Linked DNA regions of Ovis aries. The protein of the gene in region 6 purifies or fractionates together with the protein of the main gene of each other region. This does not show direct contact. Links are inferred from orthologs where the notes say so. Each region holds a gene or a part of one and is shown on either strand. Other genes may lie near its edges. The genes, in order: CNOT1, CNOT9, YBX3, LARP1, CNOT2, RC3H1 and ubiquitin-like protein FUBI.

Region 1 (4,716 bases), on a different chromosome or scaffold from region 6:
ATCCAAGGTGACAAACTTTCAAACTAATTATCTAAAAGGGGAAGTGTTGAGCTCTTAATAGGAAGCTTAAGAGCAATAAAATGGTATCTTTCAAATAATGCTTTCACTTTACATTTCATATAATTAGTCCAACACCACAAAACAAAAACAAAAAAACCCACAACAACAAAACCTACACCTCCACTGCAGACACTTTAACATCTCTTTCAACATTCTAATTTAGCCTAGAGGTAGAAATGCATTTTTTTTTCCAGAAATGCATTTCTCAAACCTATACTCCATACTCCCAAAGGCTGTATTTCCTTCAAATCTTAACACAGGATTTCAAATTAAGTCTACACTTCTACTGACTTCTCAAACGAGTTTTTCAACGAATAATTTGTTTTATTTGCTTTGCTACGTTCCCGCAAATACATGAATGAAAAGTACCTTAAAATTAACTATTGTGTACATAAAAGGATGAAGGATTTGAGCCCATTTTAGCTTTGAAATATGCTTCTTAAACATTGTGAGCAAATAGGAAAGGAACTGCATGATCTTTCTTTATATAAGGTCTTAAAATAAGACTCAGTAGGATGCCATTTTGAAACTTCCCCACAGGAAGTTCAGTTTGGAAAGAGGGCCAGTTAAATGCTTCAACCAATATTTTTTTAATGACTTACAAGTTAGTTTTGCTTTCTTACCAAAAAAAAAACCAAACACCAAGTTTATGACTGGTACTGCTGCTGCTGCTAAGTCACTTCAGTCGTGTCCAACTCTGTGTGACCCCACAGATAGCAGCCCACCAGCCCCCCACCCCGACCCGGGATTCTCCAGGCAAGAACGCTGGAGTGAGTTGCCATTTCCTTCTCCAATGCATGGAAATGAAAAGTCAAAGTGAAGTCGCTCAGTTGTGTCCAACTCTTAGCGACCCACAGACTACAGCCCACCAGGCTCCTCCATCCACGGGATTCTCTAGGCAAGAGTACTGAAGTGGGGTGCCACTGCCTTCTCCAAATTTTGACAATTCAAGAATCATAAACATCTTACCAAAAATAAGTGTCTTGAAAAATCTGGGCATCCAATTTAAATTACTGTAGGTAAATTCTCTTCCATAGTATTGAGTAACAAAGATTTGTTACACAGTAGAATGAAATAAAGATTCAAGTTCATAAATTCATAAACTTAAGTTGGTTAAAAAGAAACTTCTCGTAACTAGATCAGGAGCTAACCAAAAATATACTTGGAAAAAGGAACATTCAAGCAAATTTGATATTAGTCTTTAAGCATACTGTCAAGAAATAAGCATTTCCTCTTCTGTTTTTTTTTTTTTAATGACTTAACCCAAAGTTAGGAGGACATTACGGTACTTAGCCTGACAAGATCCATATTAAAGAGACCAGTACTTAAAACCCCAGCAGAAATCTAAGAGACTGTATTTCTCTCTGGCTAAGCCAGAGATCCATTTGAGTTAGGAACCAAAAGCATTTCAGTTGTTCCACAATAATGCCAGAAAAAGGTGCCTTAAAACTGCTAAGATTACAATCTTAGGCAAGAAGAGGGTAAGACGTTGTTACTGATGGTCAAATCTCTGCCTTGTTTCCACGGAAGGAATTGGGACCCTTCACTTGTTGAAAAGGGACCAACTCTCCAAACAAGTATTATCATGCGACCATTTCAAAGCACAACTAGATGCCTACAACGTTATGTATCATCAGCTCATTTTCTCCTTAGACAAGGTAACAATTTGGAATGTCCTAAAACAGGATAATTTAAACTGTTACCAAATATCTTATTAAGAGCTAAAATACTACACTGCCAAATCTCTGGAAGGACAGATATGACAACCTGAGGATATTAAGCCCAAATACTTCTACATAAACAAGTTTGTTCTTAATCTGTTTGACCTACTTCCTGATTTTGTATTTGTCCAATCATTTTTCCATCCGTGTATCCCTACTCCTATCAAACGGACTGTCACGAGGTAAACACTCAGAATTTTCTCCGCAAAAAGTAACCAACTATGCTCACTCAGTTATTAACTGTTAAACTCCCCAAGGCAACTGAATTACAGAGAAATAAAAAGAGAGACTAAGAGTTAATACTCTCAGGAAAAAAAACTTTTAAGAGTCCTAAAATATGTGATGTTTGAGTGACTTCAAAGGGAAAAGCTTCCTGCTCAAAGTTTATTTTAAACACATCTCCAAACCCACAGACATCAAGCATTAAAGTTTAATCCTAGGAAGGGTACTCATCTGTGGGAACCCACTTGGGTGAAATCTGCAGAGGGGGTGGGACTGAAAAAGAACATTTGTGCTTTTGGCCTTATGTAACCCCCTGGAGACCCATAGTATCTCTCACGGAGGCCTCCCAAATGCTCGGCTCACTACGAGAGCTCTTCTCCTGGGCGAGTAGCACCACTACTACAGAACAGACACTGAGCCAGGTGGGTGGGGGCCGACTCTGGAGACTGAGTGAGCGCCCGGGCGCGCGAGTGGAACAAAACCTGTGGCAAGAAGTAATGAGGAAGTGCTCGCTCCCGCCCGCCCCTCCCACCGGCGGACACCCGAAACACCCGGGGTTTGACAACGTGCTGGGGGCGGGGGAGGGGGACTGGCAGCTCCAGGTCCACCGAGAGGAACCCGGAGTCGGCAACTACTCCGAACACGGGCACCTCGCCCCCCCCGCCTCCCCGGAGCTAGGCCTCCGAGGCCGATGCCCGCAGCACCCATCCGGCAGTTGAGAAGCTCGTGGAGTCTGCGAAGGGTGCAGTCCGCGCGAAGCGAGGGCCCAGCCGCCCCCAAGTGCCGCCAACACCGCCCTCAGAGCCGCCAGGCCCGGGCAAGGGGGGGCCAATCCCGGGTCTCATTCCGCGCTCTGCCCTCGGTTTCCTAGAGCTTTCACCAAGCCCTCTTCTCTCCAGAGGCCGAAGACTCCGCGGGCCGAGGGGAGACAGTCCGCCCTCTCCCGCCTCGCCACTTCCCCGTCCCGACTGCCCCTCACACCTCGGAGCCCCGGGAAACGCTCCCAGTGGCCCCGGGACCACCCCCGTTCCTTCCCGCACCGGCACCCAAGTTCCGTAGCTGACACCGCCTGTCGGCCTCGGCACCCGACCCCAGCCCACCACACCTCAAGCGGCTCCGACGGCGCTGGACACAGGAAACTCCTGGGTCCCCGACTCCGGTTCTCCTAGACCCCCTCTTCGGTTAACTCCGCTTGTTTCTCTACAAAATGGCGCCGGAGGTCGCGCGCTCACGTCGCGGCCTTTCCCCTCCCCGTTCCTATTTCATCATTTGCTGCCCGCCCGAGAAGGGATGGACCCAGCACCAGCCAATGAGCGCACCCCGCCTGTGGCTCCCGCCCAATCATCGACAGGTGCCCGCGGATTTAAACCAATCACACACTATCACTTGCAGAAGTCAAGGAAGAAACCAGGCTCCTGCTAGCAACTACCAATCCAGACTCCTACTTCGCGGGCTTTGGCCAATTGCCGTTCACCAGTCCCCAGGGACTGGAGTCGGAGCCCTCGCGCCTGCGCTCGAGGCGAGGGCCAATGGGGAGAAGCAGATAACTTCGATTTGGGGCTTCATGGACTTCCCACCTGCCCTCGAGATCCTCGACCAATGGGGGTCTGGCAAAGCCTCTGAGAAACACTAAATAAAGGAGGGGGCCCTTAAGCCTTCTCCACCTTGCGCGGGAACTATTATGAGTTAGAGTGAAAAACAGCCTTCCAGTACTCTCCTTTCTCTTTCGAAGTGTCAAGTGTCCGGTAGACCACGGGGATTCCCAATCTTAAACACTCCCGTCCTGCCCCGCGTCTCTTTGGCGGGGAACGCCGGTTACCAGAAAACTACAAGCAAGCGAGGCTCTAACTAGCGCTCTGGCGCTTTGCATCCTGGGATGTGTAGTCCTCCCCCTCCGCCCATCCCTGTCGCAAAAGTAGTGCGAGTTCCTCCCTCATTTACGACGCCCCAGGAAGAGCAATGCATTCTGGAGAACGTAGTCCCATTTGGTCCTCTCATGCTCCGGTCAGGAGAACTTTCCTGTCTAGTTCTGCCTCTGGAAGAAGGCACTCCCTACGGAGAAATAGGAAACTCTCGGGTTCTTTGTTTGGCTTAGTCCCTGTTAGTGGTAGCAGAAGGAATACTTATGCCCTTTGCTGTCGGGAGAAAAAAATGTAGAAACATCTTTTTTAAGATTTTGTGGTTAAAAAAAGATTTTGTGGTCACCTGTATCCAGCGAAGTGAGGGAGGAGAGTGAAGAAGTTGGCTTAAAGCTCAACATTCAGAAAACGAAGATCATGGCATCTGGTCCCATCGCTTCATGGGAAATCGATGGGGAAACAGTGGAAACAGTGTCAGACTTTATCTTTTTTGGGCTCCAAAATCACTGCAGATGGTGATTGCAACCATGAAATTAAAAGACGCTTACTCCTTGAAAGAAAAGTTATGACCAACCTAGATAGCATATTCAAAAGCAGAGACATTACTTTGCCAACAAAGGTCCGTCTAGTCAAGGCTATGGTTTTTCCAGTGGTCCTGTATGGATGTGAGAGTTGGACTGTGAAGAAAGCTGAGCGCCCAAGAATTGATGCTTTTGAACTGTGGTGTTGGTGAAGACTCGTGAGAGTCCCTTGGACTGCAAGGAGATCCAACCAGTCCATTCTAAAGGAGATCAGCCCTGGGTGTTCTTTGGAAGGAATGATGCTAAAGCTGAAACTCCAATACTTTGGCCACT
Region 2 (4,901 bases), on a different chromosome or scaffold from region 6:
TTCCATGGACTGCAGCACACCGCACTTCCCTGTCCTTCACCATCAACATACAGGTAGAATCTAAAGCTTAGGGTGGAAGGGAACAGTAAAAGGAGAACAAGACTGCCCCCAGATATCCATTTTATTCCATCAAACATCTCTCACTATGATCATCGATTACTTTGATGTCAACAAGCTTTTCAGTCATTTGTCTTTACCTTTCAACAGAATTCAACATCATTGATAACTTCATCTTTTCTGCAAAACTTGTACTCCTCTATCAGGTTACTAAACACCAAGAATCCCTCAGCGCTCCATCCTAGGTCCCTTTCCTTTTTAGCAATGCACTCTCCTCAGGCAATTTCATCCACATCCATGGCTTCAATTACTATCAATTACTTCAATTACTATCAACTATATATAGGTGATGTCTATATACATACACACACACACACATTTATCTATACACCCAGCTTACAACTAAGCTCCAACCCCAGTATAATCCAATTGCCTACTTGACATCCTCTGTTCAGACAGCTCTTCCAGTTAGAGGCATGTCAGACACTGCCACCCCCAAGAGGCATTTACACAGAGCCTAAATTTTGAAAGGATTACAAAACCACCCACAGACCAACTTTCTAGACAGAGGATTTTGTCATAAATTATTATTTCCTTTCACAGATCATGACCTAAAATAGGTAAACCTGACAACCTGATTTGATGGCTAGAGATGGGGAACAACCAAAGGCACGAAAAAAAATATAATCTATGCCTTTGAGTGAAAGATGACTAGGAGAGAGGTGAAGAATAGCCAAGAAAGTGAAACAGTATCATATCCCAAGGCCCGATGGACATGCGGCAACGGAAGTCACCTGAAGAGATAGCAGGCCTCGCTAAAGGGCGAGTGACGGACAACAACAGCCCCCAGCAAAGAGGGGCCAGGTTTGGGTCACGGGGGGCAGCGAGTGACAGTAAAGACCCGGTCAAAGGAGAGGAAAAGCCTAGGGGAACACACAAGTGGAGTACCTGTGAGGCGACAGAGGGCGTCGCGGGAACGGGGGTGGGCTGAACCGCAGCCGGTGAACTCCAAAAGAGTGAACGCCGAGTGGGCGGACCGCACGGGGCGAGAAGTGAGGGGCGGGGGGGGGCAGGGTAAAACGGCTCCGTTGAGACGCTCGCCGGGCCCGCCTTACCTGTACCTGCGAGTCGGAGCTTTGGACAGGCCTGCCGGAAGCACGGAGTCCGCGTGGAGAGGGAGGAGCTGGGGGTCGCGAAGGAAGGGACGCCGGGCACGGAGAGGGGCCGCTCAGTCCCCCAGTTAGGGAGAGCGGCTGATGGCGGGAACTGTGACCACACGCAAACACGCACGCACGCACGCACACCCGACGCGACCAGGAGTAGCGCGTGCGCGCAAGCCTGGAAACTCCGCCCTTTCTACGCCCTCTCTCCGCCCCAGTACCGGGCGAAATCACGCCGAGGTAGCCCCGCCCCTGCCCGGACCGTAGTACGCACGCGCACTCTCTACTTCACGCACTTTTCGCCTTCCTACCATTTCCCTCCTACAGAGTCCAGTTGGGCATGCGCACTGTTGTCCTCCCGGTCTGCCCGGTTTTTCCCGCCCTTCACTGGCCTCCGGAGGAAGGTCAGAGTTCACGCCCTTCTCTGGAGATACCAGCTCCAAGCTGGGGATGGGGGAGACTAGCAGGAGGCGGGTGTCCTTCCGGTCTTGAAATTTCAGGGGCAAAACAGACTCGAGGATTAACTCCAGGAGCTGGGGGGGGTGGGGCGGGAAGAGGTTGTGTGGGCGGGGTCAGAGGTGAAAGGTCAGAGGGCTGCGGAGGGGGCGGAGCGAGCCGGAGGCGGATGGCGGCTGCGGCGTGTCATCATCTTCGGCGGCTGAGGCGCTGAAGCTGGGACGCGGCTTGGCGCGTCCGGCAGTGGGAGGAGAGCGGCGTCCTCTCCCAACATGCACAGTCTGGCGACGGCTGCGGTAAGTGACTGGGCCGCCCAGCCTGGGCCCCAGACCTCTCCTCAACCCCGCGTTTCGGCCTTTTCTCCTAGCTCCGTGTGGCAGGCTAAGAGTCCTCCAGCCCTCAACCCGCGAAGACCCGGCCCCCCTCCTCGCTGAGCTTGGCTGTGACGGAGCCTGCCCTCACTCTCCCTGCCGGCCGGCTCTCGCGGCCTCTGGCTCGGTGTAGCGCGTTCTTTTCCGGCCCCGGGGCCTGGTCGCGCGGCTGGAGCGCCTCCCTTGCGGCCCAGGGGGGCCATTCATTGATTCATTGCTCTACCAACAGTTTTAGGCCGCCGTTTGCGTGCTTGGCGTTGGCGGGGACGAGGGGACTTCCGAGGTGCATCTGACCCTCCCTGCCTAGGCACATCGCGGCGGGGAGGAAACGGCCTCTAGCTTAAACCACTTGCTCTACAGATACAAAATCCGAGACCTGAACAAGTGACTAGTTAGGATGTCTGACTTACGGTTCTCTGCGTTTAAAACCTTTTTTCATACATCTCTTTTTACCAGCGTGATCTTTGATCAAGAAAAACAGTGTAAACTCCTAATAACCATGCACTGTGGCTCAGAGGGTAGAGTCTGCCTGCAATGCGGGAGACCTGGGTTCGATCCCTGGGTCGGGAAGGTCCCCTGGAGAAGGAGATGACAACCCAGTCCAGTATTCTTGCCTGGAAAATCCCATGGACTGAGGAGCCTGGCAGGCTACGTACAGTCCGTGGGGTCGCACAGAGGTGGACACGACTGAGCGACAAACACACAACCTAGCTAAAGTAATCCTGAGGTTTCCCGTTTTGTTGAGATAAAACCCAAACACTTTGCATTGCCTACAAGGCCCTCCCTGAGCGTTAATGTTCCTTACCCCTGTTTTCAGTCTCATCACATTGCTTTGCAGGCTCCAGCTACAACTGGCCGCCGTTCCAACTTTTCTACTTAAGCTTTAACCAAGTTTTGATTCATTTACTTCTTATTTGTCCCCCTTTTGAGGTCAGGGACAGGGATCATGTAGATCCTGTTTATATGACTACTTCAGTGCCAGGACAGTTCCTGGCACCAAGTAAGGGCTCAAATATTTTTGCTGAATGCCGGGGTATTGATGAGGGCAGTGACCACTGAGAGCAAATAGCTGTGATGGGCAGACAGTATCATGTGATTTGAGCATACTCTTCGGAATGCTTATCCAACTTTTTTCAGTTGCATCAAGGCGAAGTGGCTTAAAGAGAGAATAATATACTGAAGTTGCATTTCCAGGTAAAATGACATAAATCCTTAATAGAAGACAAAAGTTAAAGTTTAAAAGTGAGTTGGGTGTGACTAGGTTACAGACAGCCTTGTCATTTCCAGGGCTAGTGGCATCTCTGCCTCCTGGCACCTTCTTTCTAAAGTGTTTGAAACTTAACAGGGTGAGGTACCTTTTATATAATCTCTTAACTAGGTGACTGCAGTTTCTCCAGCTTTTTTGTTTCTTCCACATTTTACATGTAATACAACAGTAAAGAATCTGCCTGCAATGCAGGAGACCTGGGTTTGATCCCTGGGTCAGGAAGACCCCTTGTAGAAGGGAATGGTTACCCATTCCAGTATTCTTGCCTGGATAATTCCATGGACAGAGGGTTTGCAAAGAGTTGGACAGGACTCAGTGACTAACATGAGAAGAAGCCAGTCAGAAAATGAGGTTGCTGCTGTTTGGAGGGGACAGTTTAAACAAAGAATTCTAAGGTTGGCTTGTCTATGTCTCAGAATCTGATTGTGACTTCTCTAGGTTTTGATACCAAGCTGCTGTTTGCCCTGTGCCTCCCCAGTCTCTACCTATTCAACTTTTCTTTTCAGTTGCTCCCTAATACATCTTTCAAACAGCCATTAGAGCTCTGGTTCATTACTTAAAATATTCAATGCATGTTTCTTCAATTAAATTTACAGTGACTACCTTTATTAAGAAATTGAACTTTTGGTGTTTTTTTTCACCCGTTTTGCTATTTGGACTACACAAACGCTCTAAGTTCATTTGTACTATTTATTCACTGGAATATTTGGTTAATAAAGAGAATGAAGCAAAAAAAAGTTGAGCCACCCCTTTCCCAATCCTTAGTGCCTTCCTTTAGGCTAAACTGACTGTATTGTTCTCATCTGGTTAAAGGGACACTGATGGTGTATCAGCTCAGTTCAGTCGCTCGGTCACGTCTGACCCGATGGACTGTGGCACGCCAGGCCTCAGTGTCCATCACCAACTCCTGAGCTTACTCAAACTCATGTCCGTTGAGTCAGTGATGCCATCCAGCCATCTCATCCTCTGATGGTGTATATTCCTCACTAAAAATTGTGTCAATAAGACATCCAACAGTGCCTACAATAATCTAAACTGCTTGAGAAGATGCTTGCTTTCTGTCTAACGATGAAAATTTGTGTTTGTGTATACCTTTTATTTTTTAATTGCAAATAAATAATGACTTCATCTAGGGAGGCAGTAGTATCAAAGGAGAATGTGATCACATATGAATGCAGTATGTTATTCACTGATTGGAGGAATTGAGATCATTTGGGATATCTTAAATATTGACTCTTGATATTTTATTATGCCAATAATTTCAAGTAGGTTGGACTCTTCATTCTTTACAGAATACTTCGTCCTAATGTCTTCATTATTGCCATCACAGAATATAATTACGTTCTCAAATCTAACAAAATAAAAACAGAAGTACCACACAGGATTGTATTAAATAAGAATAAGAAAGTGCTAGCCGGTGATGGACAGGGAGGCCTGGCGTGCTGCGATTCGTGGGGTTGCAGAGTCAGACACGACTGGGCAACTGAACAGTGGTTGACTGGGTTCATTCACTGGTTAAATGACTTGCTCCCAGAATTCAGCCTTCGGACTCTAATTCTTGCATCAGCAAAGTAACAAATCACTTGCTAT
Region 3 (4,139 bases), on a different chromosome or scaffold from region 6:
TCTCTTGGTACCTCACAGAGTAACAGGTTTCCGTATTTTCTAGGAAGAGAACATTATCTCAGTTATTTCCAGTGAAGAATATTCTTCCTGGTCTGGCATTCCTTTGCTCCAGTTGCTTTATATTTACCAGTTTTGCATTTCTTAAAGAAATATATATACATATTGCTCTTGAATCAAGAGAGCAGAGGTTGTGGAAGCACGCAAGCCGTATAGACATCCATTATTTTTTTAACTTTTTACTTTATATTGCAGCATAGTTGATAAACAGTGTTGTGTCAGGCGTCATGCTGTATACATTTAAATCAGGACATCAAGCATCTTGCTCACCTTATTAAAACGAGGGTGTGTTTTTGAGGTCACCTGTAGGAACTTCTAGTACCTCTTGCCAGTCTTAAACCCTCTGGCTGTCTAAGGCGGTGCTTTCGGTCGTTTGGCTTCTTTCTGACTCGAAGGCCGTCTTTGCTTTCTTCCTTTCTCAGGGTGCAGAAGCAGCCAACGTGACCGGCCCGGATGGCGTTCCAGTGGAAGGGAGCCGATATGCTGCTGACCGGCGCCGCTACAGACGCGGCTACTATGGCCGGCGCCGTGGACCGCCCCGCAATGTACGTTGTCTCCTTCATCATCAGTGACCCAAGAAATGTGCACATCTAAAATTAAGTGTGTATGTTTGAAGCACATAAAAGCTGTATCTTCTGCTGGAAACACAGTGATTTTTTTGGATGGGAAATTTTTCATGTTCAGAATTCATCCCCACTGGGCTTATGCGACATTTTTGCCATTCAGCAGTTTTATCCGTTTGTTTGCATTTGGCTGCAAGTAACAGCCATTTAATTATCATGTAACAAGAAGGCTTAACTTGGGCCATGCCAAGGTTGTCAAAAAGGTTTTTTCTTCTTTTGGCTCCTTTATCGGCCAGAACCGAACCATGTGACATCCACTGGGTGGGGTAGGGAGAAGGGGCCTGGGATTTCTGTGATTGGCTTACATCTGGTGTTCATCCCTTGGCGCTGACCCTGTTTATTTCTAAAGTCAGCCTTTCCTTGGCAAGGAATAGTGAGGAACAGCTCTGGAGTAAGTGATGGACAGTGCTGGCCACAGAAATATTAAGTGATTTGCCTCAATTATGTAACTTTTATTTAGGATAGCATTTCCCATTATTTCAAAGTTAAGCAACAATTAAGTCTGAATTTTTAGTCCTGTAGATTGGTACCAATCTAAGTGAAAGGGTTTACAACCAAGTCTGGCTGCAGGAGGCTCAGTTTAAAGTATTCTTGAGGCATCCAACTTGTGGTCATGAGGACCCTCTTAGATATGAGTCATTTTTTAATGTTTCTAGAATTAGTACCCGGGATTGGTACTCTGGAATAAAACTCAAGATGCTTTGTGAACACAGGATTGTGGCTATGTGCGTCATCCAGGGAAAACTTTTGAAAAAAGTCTCACCAGAATGAAGTATTTGCAGACTGAGAATGGTTTATATCTCTACACTTTGATAGAATAGTATGTTTCTGCTTACCTAAATGTTTCCTCTCTTCATTGTGTCATCTTAAACATGCAGCCCAAATTGGTTTTTATCAGATTCCATGTGATATCTTGTTTTTCTTCCTGTATTTCTCTTACCCATGTTTTGCTTATCCTGTTTAATTTTTAATAATAAACTGTGTCAGAGACAGTAGGAATAGGCTACCATAGCATCTACTACGTTGTGTTAACTCTTTCAGGTTCACCAGATTCACGGAACACTAGTTGTAATTGTTTTGATTTCTAGGTTACCTCAGAAGTACAAGTGGTAAAAAGCCTTTAGTGAAAAATTTTCCTTCAAAGACGTTTCTCCTCAGCTCGAAATTCTGAAGTCATGTGTGTGACGTTTAGAAACAAAATTATCAAAATTCTGAAAATCAACATAAATGAAGGTTTTCTGTTGTGATGTCTTCTAGGTCCTGACAGCTTCCTGAGTGTGTTTGGCAATGGTGGTGCCATTGTTGTTATTTTGTAAAACTAATCTTAATGAAAGATTTGGCTATAGAAAACTCAGATACAGAGAAACCTAAAGAGAAAATTTATAGTTTATTTAGTCACACTATTTGGCAGAACATTTTCTATGCTAATATGCCTTTAAATCATTGGAGACTGTATCTGATATAGATTTTATAAAGTATAGAGTTACTTGGATTTTCTGAAATTAGACTAGTTGAGGCTATGCTTGAAGCTTTTCCTCTTTGAGAATTTTGTTGCTCATGTGGGCTTGGTTTTCTGGAGAGTTCTAAATCTTAAATACTCTCACCCCCAACATCAGTCATTTAATTTTCTTCATTCTAAGTTTGTTCATTTTTTAAAAGCTATAGTTACTTTACTTAAGACTACCTTTGGCATTGCAATTCCCCTTTAAAGTAAGATTTGAAATAATTCTTTAAGGGATGTTTAGCTGTTTGCTTATATTTTTTGATATAAAATGTTAGTATGTGAAATGGTAGTTTAAATACAGGGAAAAGACAAAATGAATCAATAATTCCTTGTGTTAATAAAGTTTGTTATATTCAGAAACTGTATTTATTACTTGCTACTATGTATTAAAGTGCAATTAAAACTTTATTCCTAAACAAATAAAGAGAGGTATGCCATAAGTCAGTGGTTCTCAAACCTTCTGGTTTTTGGACCCATTTATATGCTTAATTATGGGATGCCAGAGTTTTTATGTATATTTATATCTATTAATACTTATTGTATTGGAAAGTAAAGCAGAATTTAAAAGATTTGATTTATTTTAAAATAAGCTATTACTTGAAATACAAATAACTTTTTTTTAATGAAAGCTAATTTTTAATTGAATGAAAAGAGTGGTGTTGCTTTAGGTTTTTGCCAATCACTGATGTTGGTTTAATAAAAGACAGCTGGTTTCTTACAGCTCCTTCTGCCTTGGTGCTGTGAGGGACCATGTGTCACTGTAGCTTCTGGGAGATCCAACCCCCCTCCTGCCCCCAACTCAGGAGAGAATGAGATGGGAAAAGACAGCATCCTGCCAGCCTTATGAGAATAGTTTGACCTTGATGACCCCCTAAGAAGGATTTCAGAGACCCTCATCCACACTTTGAGAACCCAACCACTCCAGGAAGCAAACCACTTAGGACCAACCACAAAATATACAAAACATATTTTTCTTTACTTTGCCCCAGTAGATGACCAGTGTTGGGGAGACACATTTGGTGGAGCCAAATATTCTAAACTGTGTAAATGTTTTTTGGGTGGTTAGTCAACTGATACTGACATTCTAACTAGATGCGAACTAAATTCTTTAGCGATTAATTGCACTTGCTTTTCTGCTTCTTGGTATTTTATCTGCATAGATCTGCTTTAATGTTAATGTAGCTTATCTCAGGTCATCACCTGATGATCCGGGGTAAATGCATTTTTGTCGATATACTAGAAGGGATCGTTCCTTTGGGGGAGAATTTTTTGTTTGTTTGTTTGTTTCGTTGATACTCAGCCTAAATGGTATTCTTTGCTTCTTTCCCTGCCGACACCTCTCTGAACCTCTGTTTCTTTGCTTCGCTAGTACGCTGGGGAGGAGGAGGAGGAAGGGAGCGGCAGCAGTGAAGGACTGGAGGCCCCCGCCGCTGCCGGGCAGTTCTCTGGGGCCCGGAGTCAGCCGCGCCGCCCCCAGTACCGCCCCCAGTACCGGCGGCGCTTCCCGCCTTACCACGTGGGACAGACCTTTGACCGCCGCTCCCGGGTCTTCCCCCATCCCAGCAGAATGCAGGTAAACCAGCACCTGGGACTTCTCTCCGGCAGTCCTCACCCCTCCGTCCTTCCTCTGCCTACTCTTCCTCCTCCTCTTCCAATACCAGCGGCCGGAAATCAAACCTTGCTTTTGGCTTCTCGATGCTGACGCTACTTAACCCAAGCAGACTAGTCTGCTCTTTGAGACTGGTCCTTCTAGTCTCATTTCTAAAGGCACGACCACATGAGCCTTGAGCCTTGCCTATACCCAGGGACCCTGGTGGACAAGGTACAGTCTCAAGTTTATAGAAAAAATGAAAGACATAAAGTAGGGACAGGTGAGGGTGTCTAAGGAGCTGAACTCTGAAGTCAGTCAGGCCTGAGTTTGAGTCTTATCTCTGCTACTTACTGTGAGCTTATGA
Region 4 (4,877 bases), on a different chromosome or scaffold from region 6:
ATTTAAACTTGTCCAAATAAAATCAGGGCTGGAAAAGGGCCTTAGTGATCCATGTAAATTTCAAAGAAAGGGCCACTATCTACCCTGAACACAAAATTCTCCTTCAAAACACATTCAAGCCCTAACAACAGGCTTAAACAGAGAAGCTACTGGATTAATTCAGATTTGTCTGTCGAAGACTATTCTGAAGGTTCAATACTAATGAGCAGACCAGACACTTCCTCGCCTAACAAGAACAGAGTAAGTCTACTGGACTTAGAATTTTGCTTTGGGCACTTAAAGCAAGTTGGCTTTTCTATTCAGACGTAAAGGCGAGATGCCAGCCAAGCTGTCTTCTTCCCACGATCAATAACCCCGGTGACGCACCCTACCAAGGGCCCCTAGACTTGCACAAAATGCCAGCTCAGACATCCAACACCACCTGATGTCATGGCTGATTTAAAACCCACAAGGCAGGTTCACCATTAGCAGAGCAGCAGCAGCCAGAGTGAGTAGCCCCATTTAAACTTCTGAGGAGTGCTCTCTCCTCCGGATGATTATACCCTGAGTTTAAAGAGGGGGGAAGGACCAAAGAGTATCTTCAAATTGCTTTTCCTCCCTCCGTGGGTGGATCAGGAGAGATTTGCAAGAAAATGGAGATTTCAGCACTGCCCTTTGCATAAGAGGGTTCTGGAAGGAAAAGGGGGGGAAGGGGAGGAGGGCAAAAGGAAGAGAACACGGTTTGAGGTACTATTAGTAAAAGCCAAAGGTCCCCTCCCCCAAATGAAGCAATCTTATAAAGAAATAAAAATTACAACATGCCATTTTCAGAATTCGGTGTTCTGGTTTCCCTGGGACTACGAGGGATTCTATTCCCTTGAATGTGAAAGCATTAAGCTGCCCTTTCAACTTTCCCCATTTTGATGGTTTTTTTTTTTTTTTTTCATTTTGATGGTTTAAACCAGTCAGTCTCAAGCAGAAGGGGAGGAGTTCTGAAAAAGCCGTAGGGCTATGGCCACAGGCCATCGTAGTAGCTCCAATTGGGTTTTAATACCGGCTCACTGCAAGAAGATCCTGAACCCAAGAATCCAGCCCCAGGGTGTCTCTACGGGCCGGCAAAGGGAGCAGGGCGGGCGCGCCCCCCACCAAAGGCGAAGATCTATTTTCGGCAAAGGAAGGCCTGGCGGAGACTCCATATTCCTTACCCTCCTTCCCCCACCAACAAGGCTCTGCGGGGACTTCCCGCACACCCACCTCCCCCGAGAGGCCGGGTCCGAAAGGACCCAAAGAAGTCGAGGAGGGAGAGGGAGGGCGCGCCGCTCGGCGGTCACATGCCGCCAGCCGCGCGGGGAGGCACCACGTTGTCCCGGCTGCGGAGGAATGCCGGGAAGGGGGGACGCGCACTCACACCCGCGCACACGCACACTCCCGACCGCGCCGCCCGCACCCGCCTTCCGCCCCGAGCGCCGCGGCGACCGCCGAACGCCCAGGCCGAGCGGCCGCGAGCAGCCCGCGGGCCGGCGGCGCGGCGCATGGCGCCCAACTGTCACCCGCCCGTCCGGCCTGGCCCGGCCACTCCCTCCCCCGCCGCCACACGCCCCTCGAGTCGCTGCATGCCCCCTTACTCGCCTCACATTTCCCCTCACTGGACGCCCCGCACACTCGCCATCCGGCTCCCTCACAAGGCGGAAGGTCCCCAGGATCAGGCGAGGGAAAGCACCGAATTCAATGACACGTTGGGTTTCCTCTTCTCCCCATTCTCCCCGTAACCGACCCCTCGAGCCGTCGCCCACGGCCATTCTACCGCCTAACACCATCTACTCGAGAACAAACTTGTTAACTTTTAAATCCCGAATCTGTGTGGTCGGTATGCACTCATCGCCGGGCGTTTTGCTGCCTATGACATATACTCATTAAACATTTACAACACGGGGACGATAGCAACGCTACCAAAACGAGGAACACGGGGCGGGGGGGCGGAGGGGGCTTCCCGAGGAAGGTTCAGGCAAGAAACCGTCTCTCACACAGACACGCGGTGGGGGCGGGGGGGAGGGCCCCTTTCACCGAAACCAGCGCCCGCCCCTCTCCCCGCGAGATAGGCCGGGACCACGCCGTTGCCCACTAACCGCTGCGGCCCAGGCGGTGGCCGTAGCCTCCTGGAGGCCGGGCCCTGCGGCAGGGGCAGGTTCCCGAGTGTGCTGGGGTGGGGGGGGGGGGGGGGGGGGGGGGGGCAGGGCACGGCGACCTGAATTAGCCAGGATAATGGAAAAAAAAAAAAAAAACCCGAGTCACCACGACCCACTGCGGCGGACCCCCGGGCCCTGGAGGCCGCTGGGGGAGGGGACGCCTATGTCCCCGGAAGAGGCCCCCGGTCCCGGAATACCAAACGGAGACCCACCTGGAGGAGACTGTCCGTTCACGGTGGCCAGGACCGGTGGCAGCGCGTTCTTAGTCCACGGGTTCACCTTGGGCGGAGGGGCCTCCACGAAGTCTCGGCGCCCGGCGCCCGCGGCTCCAGCAGCTCCTCCGCCAGCGCCCGGCTCGCCGCCGCCGCCCTCCTCCCCGTCGCTGACGGCCAGGCCCTCGGCGCCGGGCGGCTGCGGCGGCCGCGGGCTCTCGCGCTCCAGCTGCCCGGTGCCTTCCCTGTGCTGCTTGGCGCAGGGCGGCCGAGGTCTTCGGGTGCCGCCGTCCGGCTCCCCGCCTCCGACGTCGTTCGCCCCCGGCTCGCCCTTGCCCTCGGGCGGCGGCAGCGGCTTCTTCCTCACCAGACCCCCGTGATCTTCGGCCTGCAAGAGCGGGGCGCCCCCCGGCAGCAGCGGCTCCACCTGAGTGGCCATCTGCGCGCCCGCCCCCCCGGAGAAGCCGGGCGCGCCCGAGGCTGCCTCCCCCGCCTCGAACTTGGCTCTCAGAGAGCCCGCGACGCCTTCCTCCGGGGCGCTGGGCCCCAGTCCCGGCGGAGAAGGGTCGGGGTTCACGCTAGGCACGGCCCCCCCTCCCGGTCGGATGCAGCCGCCGTAGATCCAAGGCCCGCTGGCGGGGCGGGGGGGGGGGGGGAGGAAGGCCCCCCACTCTGCGGTCCAGGCCTCCTCGGCGCGCGTCCCCCCCCGCCCGTTCCTCGCAAGGAGCCCCCACCCGGAGCCTGGCAGGCTTCTCGTCCCGTCCCTCCCTCCCCCCCGCCCCCGGGGCGGCCCGGGCTTCCCGGCACGGGGGCTGCAGCAATATGGACGGACGGGGGAGAGGCGCGGCGAGCCGAGCTGACCACGCGATCCGCGGCAGGCGGCGGGCGGGCGCGCGCCTCGCGACGCAGCGGGCAAGGGGAGGGGACGGCGCAACGGGGGCGCGCCCGCCGGGGCTGGCCCTGGGCGACGGGCGGGCGAAGGCGGCGGGAGCGCGCGCGCAGGGCCTCGCGGCCCCGCCCCTGGTCCCGCCCCTGGCCTCCGATTCCTCGGTGCACCTCCCCGGCTGGTGGGTGAGGGGTACTCAAACCGGACCGGGGCGAGCACGTGCCTGATACAATTCGGAAGGGGGGGCGGTCAGCAAGCCGGGTAGGAGAGACCGGGTGGTATAAAGAGGGGGAAGTGTCTTAAAGAGCCAGCGCGTGAGAGCGTCCGCAGGTGGAGCACATGGGACCGCGCCACGCGGCTGGCGGGGCCTGCTCCTGCTCTTTAGGCTGGGTGCGCCAGAATCTGGGGAAAGAGCCATTAATATCACCCTAAGCTTACAGGATGATGGGGTGGGGGTGCTGTCGCCTTACTTGCGTGCCATAGGCCTGGCCCCTCCAGGCCCCGCCTGGGTGACCTTGGGTGAGCCGGCCTCACCTCCGCGGACTGTGCTCGGCTCCTCCCAGGCAGCCCTGGCCAGGTCACTGTGCGGACACCTGGCCTAGAAGACGGGTCTTTAACCCTTGGGGGCATCGGGCGTCTCGGAAGTGAGCAGGAAATTACCAACAGCCCCCAACCCGGCCAAGCCCTGAAACTTAGTATTTATGGGCGAGAAATGTCTTTTTTTTTTTTTCCCCCTCCCTCAAATGGACTTCAGTTTTTATAAGAATTGCTTGGGCCAGAGACGAACCAACGCCGAATTGGAACTCTCGAGATCCGAGATTTTATCCTGACCCTGGTCCTGCCCCTTACCAACTCTGCATTAGTTGGGTCTCAGTTTCCCTATTATAAAATGAAGACAGTGGTTTCAAATTTTAGTGCACATTCAATTAAATATTTACTGTGGGGGGTTTCTAGGGACAAGGCTTGGAAAAAACAAGGCTTGCAAGGACCTCATGGAATTTGCATTCTGAGGTGGAGAAAGAGTAAAACAAACTTATGAACAAGAGCTTGTCTCATATCTATGAAGACAGTAGCTACTACCGCAGTAGGTCACTAGATCAGTTACTTTAGTTTGGATGATGAGGGAAAACCTTGAATGCAGATTCCAAAGTATTTGGAATCAGGTATGTCTGGGATTGGACCAAGAAACTACATGTTTAGCAAGAACCCTGTTGGTGCTTGTGGTCCCACACTTCACTTGGAGGAGTCCTGGCCTCTGGCTGGCTATGATATCACCTGCTCAAGACATAACAGCCAAGAGTGTTAGCCATCTCCAAAAGAATTAGAACACATGACCTGCTGGACAAAGAAGGCTTATTGAAAATCAGCCTTTTGAAACTGCCCCCAAGGGGTGAGGTTAGTTGTAGGGTGGTTGTAACCAGGACCACTGGGGAGAGGTGCTGGTGGGGACAACCAGACAATCTGATGTGTGGTCCCAACTCTTCCATAACGTGGTGTCCACACCTTGGCCAGCTCTCAGCACTTCACTGGAGCCCCTTCCCTGGTAGACAAATGAGGATAAATTATGCTTGACTTGCTTCTAACCTCTCAGCTTTTGTGAGGAGACAAGTGAGA
Region 5 (4,762 bases), on a different chromosome or scaffold from region 6:
ATCAGTTAGACTTTCAATTTATTAATAGCTAAATTAAAAAGCTCAGTAATACACAGATATATGTATTAATATGTACTTAAAGGTATTTAATCTTTTAACACACCATCTTACAAAGTTGAAGAGAAAGATGAAGAGGCAGGAAGGAACTGTTGGGGGAAAGGGAGGAAAAAGGGAGGGAAGGACATAAGAAGATTTGCTCCTTCTTGAATTTTCCCAAAGTAAAAAAGAACACAATGAAGCAGAATGTTTAATAAAACGAACAACCAGGCAAACATTTTCTACTGGCTACATCAGCATCACCTAAGAGTTTAAATAAATTCACACAGGATCTACTAATTCATGGAAATACTTGGTAACTTATGAACATAGAAGTCATCTATAATTTAACAGTACGCTTATTTTTCCTGCTATTTTTGACTGACAGATGTCCTTTTCCCTTCAGTTATAAATTTGAAATTGGATTACAGTCAGTTTTTGGAAGGATGATTTTATAAAAGAAACAAAACAAGGGAAGTAGAAACTTTATTTACCCCAAATAAAGTGTACTTTACATTAGTAAATTCTATAACTCAACTAGAAAGGAAGTAACAATTTTCACTTTATGAAACTATACGATTCCTAATACAGATGCAAATGCTCTTTTTCAGGCCCAAAAATATCAAGCAAGAGGGAAGAGTTGAGCAATATACAAACGAATAGAGAGAGAGTTATTATTTCAAAGAAAACTAATTTTACTTTGAGCAACAATTATTTTTCTGGGAAGCAGAGACTCTGCTGAAGTTTCCAAAAAAGCCATCGTAATTTCAGATGGTCTCGCTGATAGCCCAGGCAGTCACTCCAGCTTACGTGGGCATTGGGGAGTGAGAATGAGAAAATGCTATTAGTCTGACTCAGGAAAGCTCAACCAACAGAGTTTCAAAAACCTGCCCCCTCCCTCAATACGCTCCCTCCCAAAAAGTTAAAATAATAATAAAATAGGAAGCGTGACGAGTTAAAATACCAACGGTTTCGGCTGACGATCACTCACTTCTCAGAAAGTGATGGTGACGTGCTGCTGGTCCCTGGAAGTGCGCGCACAAGCACCGGAGGGTTCGGGGTCTGAAGGAAGAAAACTGGACAGCGATCAGATGCGTTTCAGGGAGCAGAGGGAGGGAGGGCCGGTACTAGGCAGACGACGGGGGTAGAGGGGTGGGGGATGAAGTGCTGAACACAAACACAAACACGTTCCGAGTCCCCGGGAAGGGCGGACCGACGCCACCTCACCATTCCCCGCCCCTGGACCCCGCGATCCTTCCCGGACCTAGGGCCCGTGGCCCGCGCGAAGCAACCTGGACCCAGGGGAGCCTAGCGGCAGCAGAGTTCCTACTCGCTGTAACGACTGCGGAGTAGCTACGAGCCTCCCGGTGAGTCGGTGAGAGAGAAGGTGGGGGCCGCGAGGAGGAAAGCGAGGTACTGAAGGGCCCCTCCGAGTACCCTCTCCAACGCGTGAGAAACAGACTACCCAACCCCAACTCTGTCCGGTCCACAGTCGCCGCTCCCCTCTTCCGCCGCCGCCGCCTGGAGGGAAGTCGGAACGGCGGGGGTCACGGCGGGGGTCAGAGGGTAAAGGTCTTGCTCCCAGCAGCCTCCGCGGTGGATACGTCGCCATCTTGGATCCGCGGGACAAGAAAATTCATGCGGTGAGTTTTTGGCAAATTTTCGGAAGTCTGGCAGCGGGGCGCGCGGCGGGAGCGGCGGATTCGGGGCCCTCGCAAGGCGGGGGAATGCCTCGGGGCCGGGCCGGTCGCGCCCGGGGTCCGCGGGCAGCGTCCCGGCCCGCCGCTTCCCGTTGCTTTTGTCTCGGCTCCAATCGAGAGAGGGAGAGCGGAGCGGGCGGGGAAGGGGGGGTGGTGGCGGTGGAGGGAGGGAGGGGGTGTGTATAGGGAGGGTGGTGGACGGGACGTAAAGCGTCGCTGTAGTCGGGTAGCTGCAGCGGCAGTTCTGGATCCTAGGCCCTGTCCCTTCGGCTGGCGCTGGGGCTTCCCCCAGACTCCTCTCCCCCGGGCTCCCGCCAGCACGGAGAAGCCTCCGCCGCGCTGCTTCTTGGGGAAGAAGAGAAGGCGACAGCGGCGGTGGCCAAGGACCCCGGGCCCGCTTTAGACGGCGCTGCCGCCTTCCCAGCAGTTGCCCCGGTCTTTGGCATTTCACATTCTCAATACACGTACATCATCTGCAACTTGTCTGTTTCTGTGTATGTATATGTGAAAGATGGGGGATCCTGGACTGGCTAACGGGTCTCAGGAGCTGCCAGGCCCTGGGGTACCGAAGGCTGTGTATGGTGGAAGGAGGAGTGCAACTGTGATGCTTCCTCTGCTTCCGCACCCGGAGGGTGAAGCTTCCGTAGTCTGGTAGTGACTGAGTCCGGAGAGTCCTGGGGCGGCGGAGGAACCCGAAACGCCTCGGTCTGTGAAGTTGCGAGCCCTAGGTTTCTACTTCCGCCGGGGCCTCTCCACCTTTTGCTGTCTTGAGTCTAACTGAAAAGTTCACGGAAGAAGTGAGTAGGGTTAAAACTTAGTTCAGGCTCTTGTCCGTTTAGGAGAAAAAGCCTCTAACTCTTGGTAACTGTGGTCCTTAGCGAATATGAGGTTTTTTGTTTTTGTTTTTAATGAGAACATTTCCAAGGTCTTAAGTTTGCATTTCTTTCAGGCCCTGTGGGTACGATATTACAACCATAAAAGTCTTACATACGGGTGCCACCCTCTTGAGAGGAACCTAAGCATCAACTCTCTTAGAATCTGAGCAGATGCCTTCAGTTTTTAACATCCAGAAGACGGAATGCAATACATTTTGTTTCATAAAACTCTTGGTCAGAGAATTCTATTCCTTTCTTAATCTTCTAGTCGTTTTCTAATAATTAAATACATTGATAGCAACCCTTGGATTCTTGGTGAAATGGTAGGAAGCACCTAGTTAGAATCTGTCACGAGGGAGGCCTTGCTTGAATTTAGAGTTCAAAGCTGAACAAATTTTCTGTCATGCTTGATATTAGGAATTTCTAGACCTCTGGAATCGTTAAGTGCAGCTTTATTTGCCCCTTAAAACAACTTAAGTGGAAGTAATAAATACGGAGGCAGGGGATAGAAATTTGAAAATATTTGTTTACATACTGGGTTTATGTTGTTTGTAAATACTTAGTATATTTGACAAGTTCTCAAACGTGTTACCAGTGAACACGTCTCTCTTGCAACTTTGGAAGATAACTTTGTCCTAGGTGTAAGGAGTTGGTTAAGAATCGCAGTGGTCTGAAATGACTAAATGGCTACATTCAGACAGTTTGATGTGTACATTCAGATCTCTTTTCCTGAAATACTCCTTAGTAGATCAAGATCTTTAGTTAACTTTGTCGTGTTGAACATCTCTTCAGTTTGTAGTTCTTGTGTAATATTAAACCTAAAGGAAAAATACAAGATACATGTAAAAAGAAGAGAACTTGTGTTCCACTTGTTTCTTGACCTTTTAAGATCCTCATTTAATTTTAAAAAGGTTCTTTTCTCTCATTTTTTCCCCTGCTTGAGGGCTTGAAGTCCAGTGACTTCTGTGATTACTTTGTATTTTAGATAGAAATTGAGAAACTCACATTTTGGCATCTTGATTAATGCTGCAACAATAAAAATACTGTGAGCATCGTTTTTTGGCAGAACCCTTTTATTATAAGTATACTGTATAAAGATATCTGTAACCTAATCTGATACTCTTGGGGAATTAGAATTGCTTATATATTTAACCAACCAACAGATACAGCCTTTTAAAGATTTTTAGTTTCTGAAATACTTTAGTTTTAAAGTAAATTTTTGTGGCAGAAAAATGAGAGCATAATGCATGAGTGATTCATGTTCCCTTCCATTTCGAATTACTTGATCTTGAAGATAAAATAAACTTCAGAATGATATTCCTCCCCGAGACCTAGTTACTTATGTTTTTACTTAATAACTTTAGATGTTTAATTTACTCTTTGATTTCTCAGAGATACTTCACAGTTAGTTATAATCTGAAAATTCTTTGTTCAAAAGTAATTACTTAGATTTATGAGTAGATTTTATTAGAAGTGCTTCTAACCCAGTTGTTTTGGTTTTTAATCTTTTCAGTAGATACTGGTATTAAAAGTATTTGTATTTTGAAAGACCTTTGCAAAGTCTTTTGCAACCTCTGGGAAATGATAGGTTTACCTTTTCATTCACAAATATGCTTCATAAGATTTTCTAATAATGTGCGAAAAGAAAAAGTATGCTTCATGTTTACATATGAAATAATACTAGACGTTACTAGATTGATAAAAATAAGTCAACTTTTTTTTTTTTTTTGGCTTGTTAAAAGCAGTGTTAAACAGTATTTTTTAATTGTCTTAACATTTTTAACTGTAGAAAGTTCATTCTGTTATAATTACATATTTAAAAGCAAACTGTCCATGTACTTGCTTATTAGGCATGAGAACAACTTATGCAAATAGTGATACAATGTTAGGAAAAGATACTACTAAGATTTTATTTGTTACTTAGACATCTAGTAGATGTTGTGACACAAAGAAGCAAAAGAAGCCAAGGTTCCAGGTAGGGCCTCTTTAGAGGCAGAGTTAAACTGAGTTGCACTGTAATGTTGGAATAGAATCACACACACTACTGATATCATAGTATTGATAACAAAGGAATCATTTTGGTTGATGATAGGTGTGATTGTTCTTCCTTTACTATGGATGATTTCTACCCCAAATGCTTAAAGGAGTAGA
Region 6 (4,139 bases):
TTAAATTTGAGAGTTAATAAAGGGGCTTCCTTAGTGGCTCAGTGGTAAAGAACCTCCCTGTCAGTGCAGGAGAAACACTGGGTTCGATCCCTGGGTTGGAAGATCCCCTGGAGAAGGAAATGACACACCACTCCAGTATTCTTGCCTGGAAAATTCTATGGATAGAAGGAACCTGGAGCGCTACAATCCATGTGGTCACAAAGAGTTGGACACAACCTAACAACTAAACAACAAAAAGGAGTTAATAAAACTTATTTTAGAATAGAGTCAAGGTTGAATTAGCTGTTATATCCTGTATAGATATATCCTGAATTATCTGTCTAGGAAATGAAAATTTCTGCTTCGATCTCCTTCTTCCCCTTAAAACCATTGTTAACATTTTGATGTCTATATACCCTTAAGTGTGCAGGCATTTAGCCTCTTTCACCCACATATCCCCTGTTCTATCCCTCCTGGTTTTTAATTTGGTCTATCCATATCACCCATTAGTCTTCTACAGGTACAGAAGAATACATATCAACTATTACGAACAACCCTGCAAAAAATATATTGTAGTTAATTCTTTGTACATCTTGAACCTTAGGATATTTTGCAGCTAGGGCACTTTGAGGCTTTTAATGCATAGTCCTGAGTTGCCTTCCTGATGATATACAACAATTTCTGATGCTCTGTTGCTTCCAGGCTTAAGTTTTTGTCTGTTTAAATCCATGTGTTATCTTGTCCTAGTAAACCTGCTAAAGCAGGGGTCAGCATTTTTCCTAAAGGCCAAATAGTGAATATTTAAAATTATTAGTCTTACTATCCATGTCAGAACTCTCAGTTCTGCTGTTGTAATGTGAAAGCAGTCATAGACAATATGTAAACAGATGGGCAGGCTGTATTCCAATAAAACTTTGTTATAGAAACAGCTCAACAAAACAAAAACCAGTCACCTAGCTTGTCTTAGTTTGCCAGCCCATATGCTAAAATAAAGCATGGATATAGAGCTGTAAATTAAAGTTTGAAAGCCATTCATGTATTTTCCATAGTGCTATATAGAAAGGCCCTGTTGATTTTATTCTATTAATAACCAGTTTTCTCTCCTCTTTTAAAATTCCAACTCTTTTTTTTTTTTTTAATGTTAACAGTGACGTGCCTAATGGATCAGCATTGACACAAGAGAATATCAGCCTCCTGTCCAACAAGACCAGCTCTCTGAACCTGTCAGAGGACCCTGAGGGAGGAGGGGACAATAATGACTCCCAGAGATCAGGAGTTACATCCAGTTCTACTCCCTAAAATATGAGGAGTCCTACCTTTATCTTCTGCTCCTAACCAGTCTGTGGGGCATAGGGGTAGGAGAACAGATAACTTCTTAAACTTTCTCTGAGAGTGGTCAGAGAAATCCAGGAAAAGCACCGGAGGCAATGTGCACAAACATCACTACTAAAAACAAACTCTGCACATAGTTCACATTAATGCATTTTTTAATTTAAAGAAAAAGAAAATTAGCAGTATCTGCAAGCAATTCAGATTAAATTTGTTTTTGTTCTGTGAATGAACTTTATTTTAATAACTTTGGACGCCTTGGATCCAGGGCTTTAAAAAAAAAAGAAGATATTATATATACACTCTGTTTGATTAATTGTATGATCTTAATGAAGTAGATTTTTCTTGTATTTTGGTATTATTACATACCCAGTGTATAATTCCGTACCCCCAGTCCTCTCACAACCCCATAAATTACCACAGACTAAAAGACCCCGGCCATTCTGAGAATTCTGTGGTGCTTGAGAAATAGTAATAGACTAGTTATTAGAAAATGTGCAGCAGAGCAACTTTTCCAAGAGCCATTATTTGGAAGCCATAATTTGCTTTCTTTCTGGGTCACAAGCTTCATGTGTAGGGAGGTTTTTCATATGGCATTAAAACTTTTTGTTGTTGCTCAGGAGGACTTTATTTCTTGTTTTTGTGTTTATTTCAGCTTTTCTGAGAAATAATTACCAATTCATTTTTGAAGACCTCATTTTCATATCATGAACCGCTTTCATTCTCTTAATGTAATCAGAAATCCAAGTCAATTTTAGAGTGCTTGATTAGATTTAAATGGAAATTATTTTAAGGATGAACTATAATTTTATTAGCACTGGAAATACATATTTAGTTTATTACCTATATTGAGCTAATGACTGGAAATTCAGAGCAATGCTTTCCCAAGTTCAATTTCTGAAATCATAGAATGTTCAAAAACCAGGACAATCCACCATATTTTAAAACTGCTCAACACTTGATTGAACTTAAAATGAGCAGAGCCACATTATTTCAATGAATGTTTTGTTTTACTCTCAAAAACCAAAAGTACAAAATTCCTATATACTGGAGCCCCTGGCTTTCAAGGAGATTTGGCAAATGAGAACTGCCTAAATCTTAAGGATAGTTTACAAATTGATCAGTAGTTGCCTTTTGGAACCATTAGCACAAGTAGGTAGGTAGTAAGTACCTAGAAGTCAATTTTGTAGACTTGGCTTCACTATACTGAAAAGACTCTTCATGAAAATGTTGAAGAGAATAAGGAATAATTTTTCTAATTTAATTCTGCTGCACATATTCTGATGCCACATGTCTATACTGAACTAAAACCATATAAAATGTGTTTAGTGGGGATTATTTGACATAGTCACCCACCGTATATGTTTGCCTGATTTTCTAGAAATTTCCTTTTCTGGATTATACTGCTAAAACAGAAAGCACTGGTTATGTAATAAGTTACTGCATTGCTTTGGTTGGGTAAAAGCAAGAGTTTGTATTTTTCTTGTTTCTTATTTTCTTAACCCGTAACTCCTGCTGAGGTCATAACCACCTCAGTCTAAGCTCTGTGTCTATCATACTATTAAATGAAACAATTGGGGGGTAAGGGAGGGGGGAGGGTAATACAGTCCTGCCATTGCCTACCAGTAGGAGAGTCCAAACAGAACACTCTTTTGAGTAGCAATTATTTAATTTGCCCAGTCAAGGCACCGTGTTTATATACTATTTCACATTGAATTTGATTATGCCCTACAGACCTGGCTGGTCAAGGATTTGATATACACATATTGGCTTGGGATTCGAGCTTTCTTTTTTATTTAAATAAAAATTTATATATATATATTATATATATACATATATACATAGCTATATCTGTATATATATTGGGTATGTTTTATGGATTTTTTCGCATGAGCGCAGCTGTTGCGATAAAATGACTGATTGGGAGGTAGAAGCACTGAATGAAGATGAGGCATTTTATCAGTTGATATCCATATTTTCCTATTTTTAAAAAATACATTTGCTTTTTTGCCTTTTTTCATTTATTTTGCTTAAAACCCTCTTACATTTACTATTTAAGTACTTATTGTTTTGGGGAGGAGAAGGAGAGAAATTTTATGTCTGACAGAGTCCTGAGATCTTTAATTTCTCTCTCTAACCATAAAAGGCAACATTCTTGGCCTCTAACCTTCTGTAGGCAGATTTGGGCAGATCTTATTTCTCCTTTGGACATGTTAGATAATTCCTAAATTTTAGGAGCAGTTGGTTCAGTTTGGAATTCAGAATGATTCCGGTATTAAAAAGAAATTTATGGATGTTGATTTTGTTGAAATATGGAGTAAAAGTAAAATTCCATTTTGGGTATCTATTGAAACCCCTAATAACTTAAGTTCTGTTGTTATTGTTTATTTCCTTCAAATACAGTCATTCTTTCACCATTTTGATTTTCTAAGCTAGGTAGAAAGAGAGATTAATTTATGTTTTCCTGTTCTGAATAAAACCAGAAAGCCACTGTTTTAGACTGACTTAAAATAGTCTCTCTTTTTAAGGTATTTTCATGGAGTGAGGATGGGGGATCTCTTAAATTAGCCTTAATTCTGTCTATACCTCTCTAATACTCCACCCTTGAGAGGAAATCTGGGTGGGTAGAACAGCAAGAGGAAGGTATACTGTCCCACTGTGCCTGTAAGATGAACCTATAGTGGTCAATGGCCTGTTTTGGCAAAACCGTTTGACTTTTTAACTGCTTTTTTCTTAAAATCTGTGAAAGATACTGACTTTTCTGGCTTCTTAGATTTATTCCCCGAGACAGTTAAAACGATGAAGCCAGTCAGATAGGAAATTCCATCTTT
Region 7 (2,846 bases), on a different chromosome or scaffold from region 6:
CATCTATCAGAAGCTAAGAAAGAAGTGAGTTTCAAAAGTGACGAGTACAGTCTCCCAAGGCAATAGAAATAAGAACAAAACTAAACAAACGGGACTTAAACAAACTTACAAGCCTCTGTGCAGCAAAGGAAACCATAAACACCAAAGATAGCCTATGGAATGGGAGAAAGTATTTGTAAATGATGTGATTGACAAAGGCTTAATTTCCAAAATATACAAACAGCTCATACAACTCAATAACCAAAAAGCAAATAACCCTATCCAAAAATGGGCAGAAGACCTAAATAGACATTTCTTCAAAAGACATGCAGATGGCCAATAGGCACATGAAAAGATGATCAACTTAGAGAAATGCAGATCAAACCTACAGTGACCTCACACCTGTCAGAATGGCCATCATTAAAAAGTCTACAAGTAATAAATTGTGGAGAGGTGTGGAGAAAAGGAAACCCTCCTACACTGTTACTGGGAATGCAAGTTGATGCAGCTATTATGGAAAACAATAAGGAGGGTTCTCAGAAAGCTAAAAATAGAATTACCATATGATCCAGCAATCCCACTTTTGGGCGTAAAACTGTAATTCAAAAAGATACACGAACCTCTGTATTCACAGCAGCACTATTGACAATAGCCAAGACATGGAAGCAACCTAAATGTCCATCAACAGACGAACGGATAAAGAAGCTGGGGTCCATATATACAACACAACACAGCTCAGCCATAAGGAAGAACAAACGAATGCCATTTACAGCAAAATGGATGCAGCTAGAGATGATCATACTCAGTGAAGTCAGAAAGAGACAAATACCTATGATATCACTTATATGTGGAAACTAAATTATAACAAATGAACAAATCTTTGAAACAGAATCACAAATACAGAGATCAGACTTCTGGTCGCCAGGAAGTAAGGAGTTGAGGGAGAGATGGTATAGGAAGTCGGGGTTAGCAGATACACGCTTTAATATGTAGAATGGATAAGCAACAAAGTCTTCCGGTATAGCACAGAGATCTATAGTCAGTATCCTATGATAAATCCTAATGGACAAGAATTTTTAAAAAAGAATGCATATATGTGTATAGTTGAATTACTTTGTCATACAGCAGATACTGACACAACAGTGTAAATCAACTGTACTTCAACTTAAAAAATCACACGCACAGATGTGACCAGTAAAATCCAACAAGCACATGACAAGTAAGTAATCAGATATATAAGGCAAATCGAGAAAAAAGGCAAGAAGGCCAGTGAATTTGGCAACAACAAAATGTTGTTAGAAGCCTTTAGCTCTTTCTCGACTCCATCTTCGCGGTAGCGGCAGCGGTGTCCGCGATCTAGTCGCCAACATGCAGCTCTTTGTCCGTGCCCAGGAGCTACACACTCTCGAGGTGACCGGCCAGGAGACGGTCGCCCAAATCAAGGCTCATGTAGCTTCGTTGGAGGGCATCGCTCCAGAAGATCAAGTCCTGCTCCTGGCTGGCACGCCCCTAGAGGATGAGGCTACTCTGGGCCAGTGTGGGGTGGAGGCTCTGAGTACTCTGGAAGTAGCCGGCCGCATGCTTGGAGGTAAAGTCCATGGTTCCCTGGCCCGTGCTGGGAGAGTGAGAGGTCAGACTCCCAAGGTGGCCAAGCAAGAGAAGAAGAAGAAGAAGACGGGCAGGGCCAAGAGCCGTATGCAGTACAACTGGCGCTTTGTCAATGTTGTGCCCACCTTTGGCAAGAAGAAGGGCCCTAATGCTAACTCCTAAGTCCTCTGTAATCTTGGCTTTCTCTAATAAAGCCACTTAACCCGATTAAAAAAAAAAAAAAAAAGAAGAAGCCTTTAAAAGTACATTTCCAGTGAAATAATTTGTTTTTTACATTTCTATATATATTCACTGCATTGATTTCTAACAAAAACTGTTTCCCAATAGGTAGCCTTTTGCCATTTTTATAAGACTCACTGGAGATATTTACCAATTAAAAACAATCATTTGGATTGATTCCACCTGGAATCATTTTAAGACTTTTGCTTAAAACACAGTAGCCTTGTGTAGAGCACGTTTTTTGTTGTTGTTTCCCTGAAAGAATTTTATTTTTTTAATGCCACTGGCATTTAATTTTTGAGGTTGCTAAAAATATTTTGTATTCCATTATAAGTTTCTCTTCTTCTTTGACTCCTTTTTAGAAAGAAAAAAAAAACAACCGTTTATTTTGTATTGGGGTGTTGCTGATCAACAGTGTTGTGACAGTTTCAGGTGAACAGCCAAGGGACTCAGCCATACATATACATGGATCCATTTTCCCCCCAAATCCCCTACCATTCAGGCTGCCATATAACACCGAGCAGAGCACATTCTTAAATAAATCACTTAATCACTGGATTTTATTTTTCTTTCTGTCAACACTTTATAGATCTCAAAGATACAGCTAACTAAAATCTCCTTGATCCATCAATGACCATGGTAAAGGCTATGCTGGGTGCTTTCTTCCAGGGAATGATAAGAATACCAGATTATTTCTCACTTATATGAGGAATCAAAAATGAAACCCACAGCTCATATAAACAGAAAACAGATTGGTGATTGTAGAGGCAGAGTTATGTGCAGCATAACAACTGTAGTTAATATTTAGTTAGCACTGTATTGCATACTTGGAAGTTGCTAAGAGAGAAAAAAATCTTAAAAGTGTTCACAAGAAAAAAAATCTGGGTGGCAACGAATGTTAGCTAAACTTACTGTGGTGATCATTTTGCAATATGTATAAATGTTAAATCATTACATTATACACCTGAAATTAATATAGTGTCATACGACAACTATACCTCAGTTGAGAAAAAGATACCAACTCACTGAAGAATTAATTT

What was found.
Region 1: the proteins of RC3H1 (region 6) and CNOT1 purify together in Homo sapiens (affinity purification with mass spectrometry; 5 studies listed by BioGRID, with this or other methods). This does not show direct contact. The link is inferred for Ovis aries from reciprocal best matches to the Homo sapiens genes RC3H1 and CNOT1.
Region 2: the proteins of RC3H1 (region 6) and CNOT9 purify together in Homo sapiens (affinity purification with mass spectrometry, with the first as the bait; 4 studies listed by BioGRID). This does not show direct contact. The link is inferred for Ovis aries from reciprocal best matches to the Homo sapiens genes RC3H1 and CNOT9.
Region 3: the proteins of RC3H1 (region 6) and YBX3 purify together in Homo sapiens (affinity purification with mass spectrometry, with the first as the bait; 3 studies listed by BioGRID). This does not show direct contact. The link is inferred for Ovis aries from reciprocal best matches to the Homo sapiens genes RC3H1 and YBX3.
Region 4: the proteins of RC3H1 (region 6) and LARP1 purify together in Homo sapiens (affinity purification with mass spectrometry, with the first as the bait; 3 studies listed by BioGRID). This does not show direct contact. The link is inferred for Ovis aries from reciprocal best matches to the Homo sapiens genes RC3H1 and LARP1.
Region 5: the proteins of RC3H1 (region 6) and CNOT2 purify together in Homo sapiens (affinity purification with mass spectrometry, with the first as the bait; 3 studies listed by BioGRID). This does not show direct contact. The link is inferred for Ovis aries from reciprocal best matches to the Homo sapiens genes RC3H1 and CNOT2.
Region 7: the proteins of RC3H1 (region 6) and ubiquitin-like protein FUBI purify together in Homo sapiens (affinity purification with mass spectrometry; 3 studies listed by BioGRID, with this or other methods). This does not show direct contact. The link is inferred for Ovis aries from reciprocal best matches to the Homo sapiens genes RC3H1 and FAU.

What each region holds. Positions count from the first base shown.
Region 1 is NC_056067.1:25,973,423-25,978,138, forward strand, and holds the start of CNOT1 (CCR4-NOT transcription complex subunit 1), read right to left. Parts: upstream 3,208-4,716; 5' UTR 3,109-3,207; intron 1-3,108.
Region 2 is NC_056055.1:220,543,128-220,548,028, forward strand, and holds the start of CNOT9 (CCR4-NOT transcription complex subunit 9), read left to right. Parts: upstream 1-1,807; 5' UTR 1,808-1,945; coding exon 1,946-1,969; intron 1,970-4,901. UniProt on the Homo sapiens protein: Component of the CCR4-NOT complex which is one of the major cellular mRNA deadenylases and is linked to various cellular processes including bulk mRNA degradation, miRNA-mediated repression, translational repression during translational initiation and general transcription regulation.
Region 3 is NC_056056.1:204,575,020-204,579,158, forward strand, and holds part of YBX3 (Y-box-binding protein 3), read left to right. Parts: intron 1-479; coding exon 480-602; intron 603-3,553; coding exon 3,554-3,757; intron 3,758-4,139. UniProt on the Homo sapiens protein: Binds to the GM-CSF promoter. Seems to act as a repressor. Also binds to full-length mRNA and to short RNA sequences containing the consensus site 5'-UCCAUCA-3'. May have a role in translation repression.
Region 4 is NC_056058.1:63,733,674-63,738,550, reverse strand, and holds the start of LARP1 (la-related protein 1), read right to left. Parts: upstream 3,258-4,877; 5' UTR 2,817-3,257; coding exon 2,378-2,816; intron 1-2,377. UniProt on the Homo sapiens protein: RNA-binding protein that regulates the translation of specific target mRNA species downstream of the mTORC1 complex, in function of growth signals and nutrient availability.
Region 5 is NC_056056.1:149,555,980-149,560,741, reverse strand, and holds the start of CNOT2 (CCR4-NOT transcription complex subunit 2), read left to right. Parts: upstream 1-1,631; 5' UTR 1,632-1,674; coding exon 1,675-1,679; intron 1,680-1,941; exon of another isoform or gene 1,942-2,533; intron 2,534-4,762. UniProt on the Homo sapiens protein: Component of the CCR4-NOT complex which is one of the major cellular mRNA deadenylases and is linked to various cellular processes including bulk mRNA degradation, miRNA-mediated repression, translational repression during translational initiation and general transcription regulation.
Region 6 is NC_056065.1:54,645,872-54,650,010, reverse strand, and holds part of RC3H1 (roquin-1), read left to right. Parts: intron 1-1,127; coding exon 1,128-1,278; 3' UTR 1,279-4,139. UniProt on the Homo sapiens protein: Post-transcriptional repressor of mRNAs containing a conserved stem loop motif, called constitutive decay element (CDE), which is often located in the 3'-UTR, as in HMGXB3, ICOS, IER3, NFKBID, NFKBIZ, PPP1R10, TNF, TNFRSF4 and in many more mRNAs.
Region 7 is NC_056054.1:227,145,819-227,148,664, reverse strand, and holds ubiquitin-like protein FUBI, read left to right. Parts: upstream 1-1,287; 5' UTR 1,288-1,347; coding exon 1,348-1,749; 3' UTR 1,750-1,823; downstream 1,824-2,846.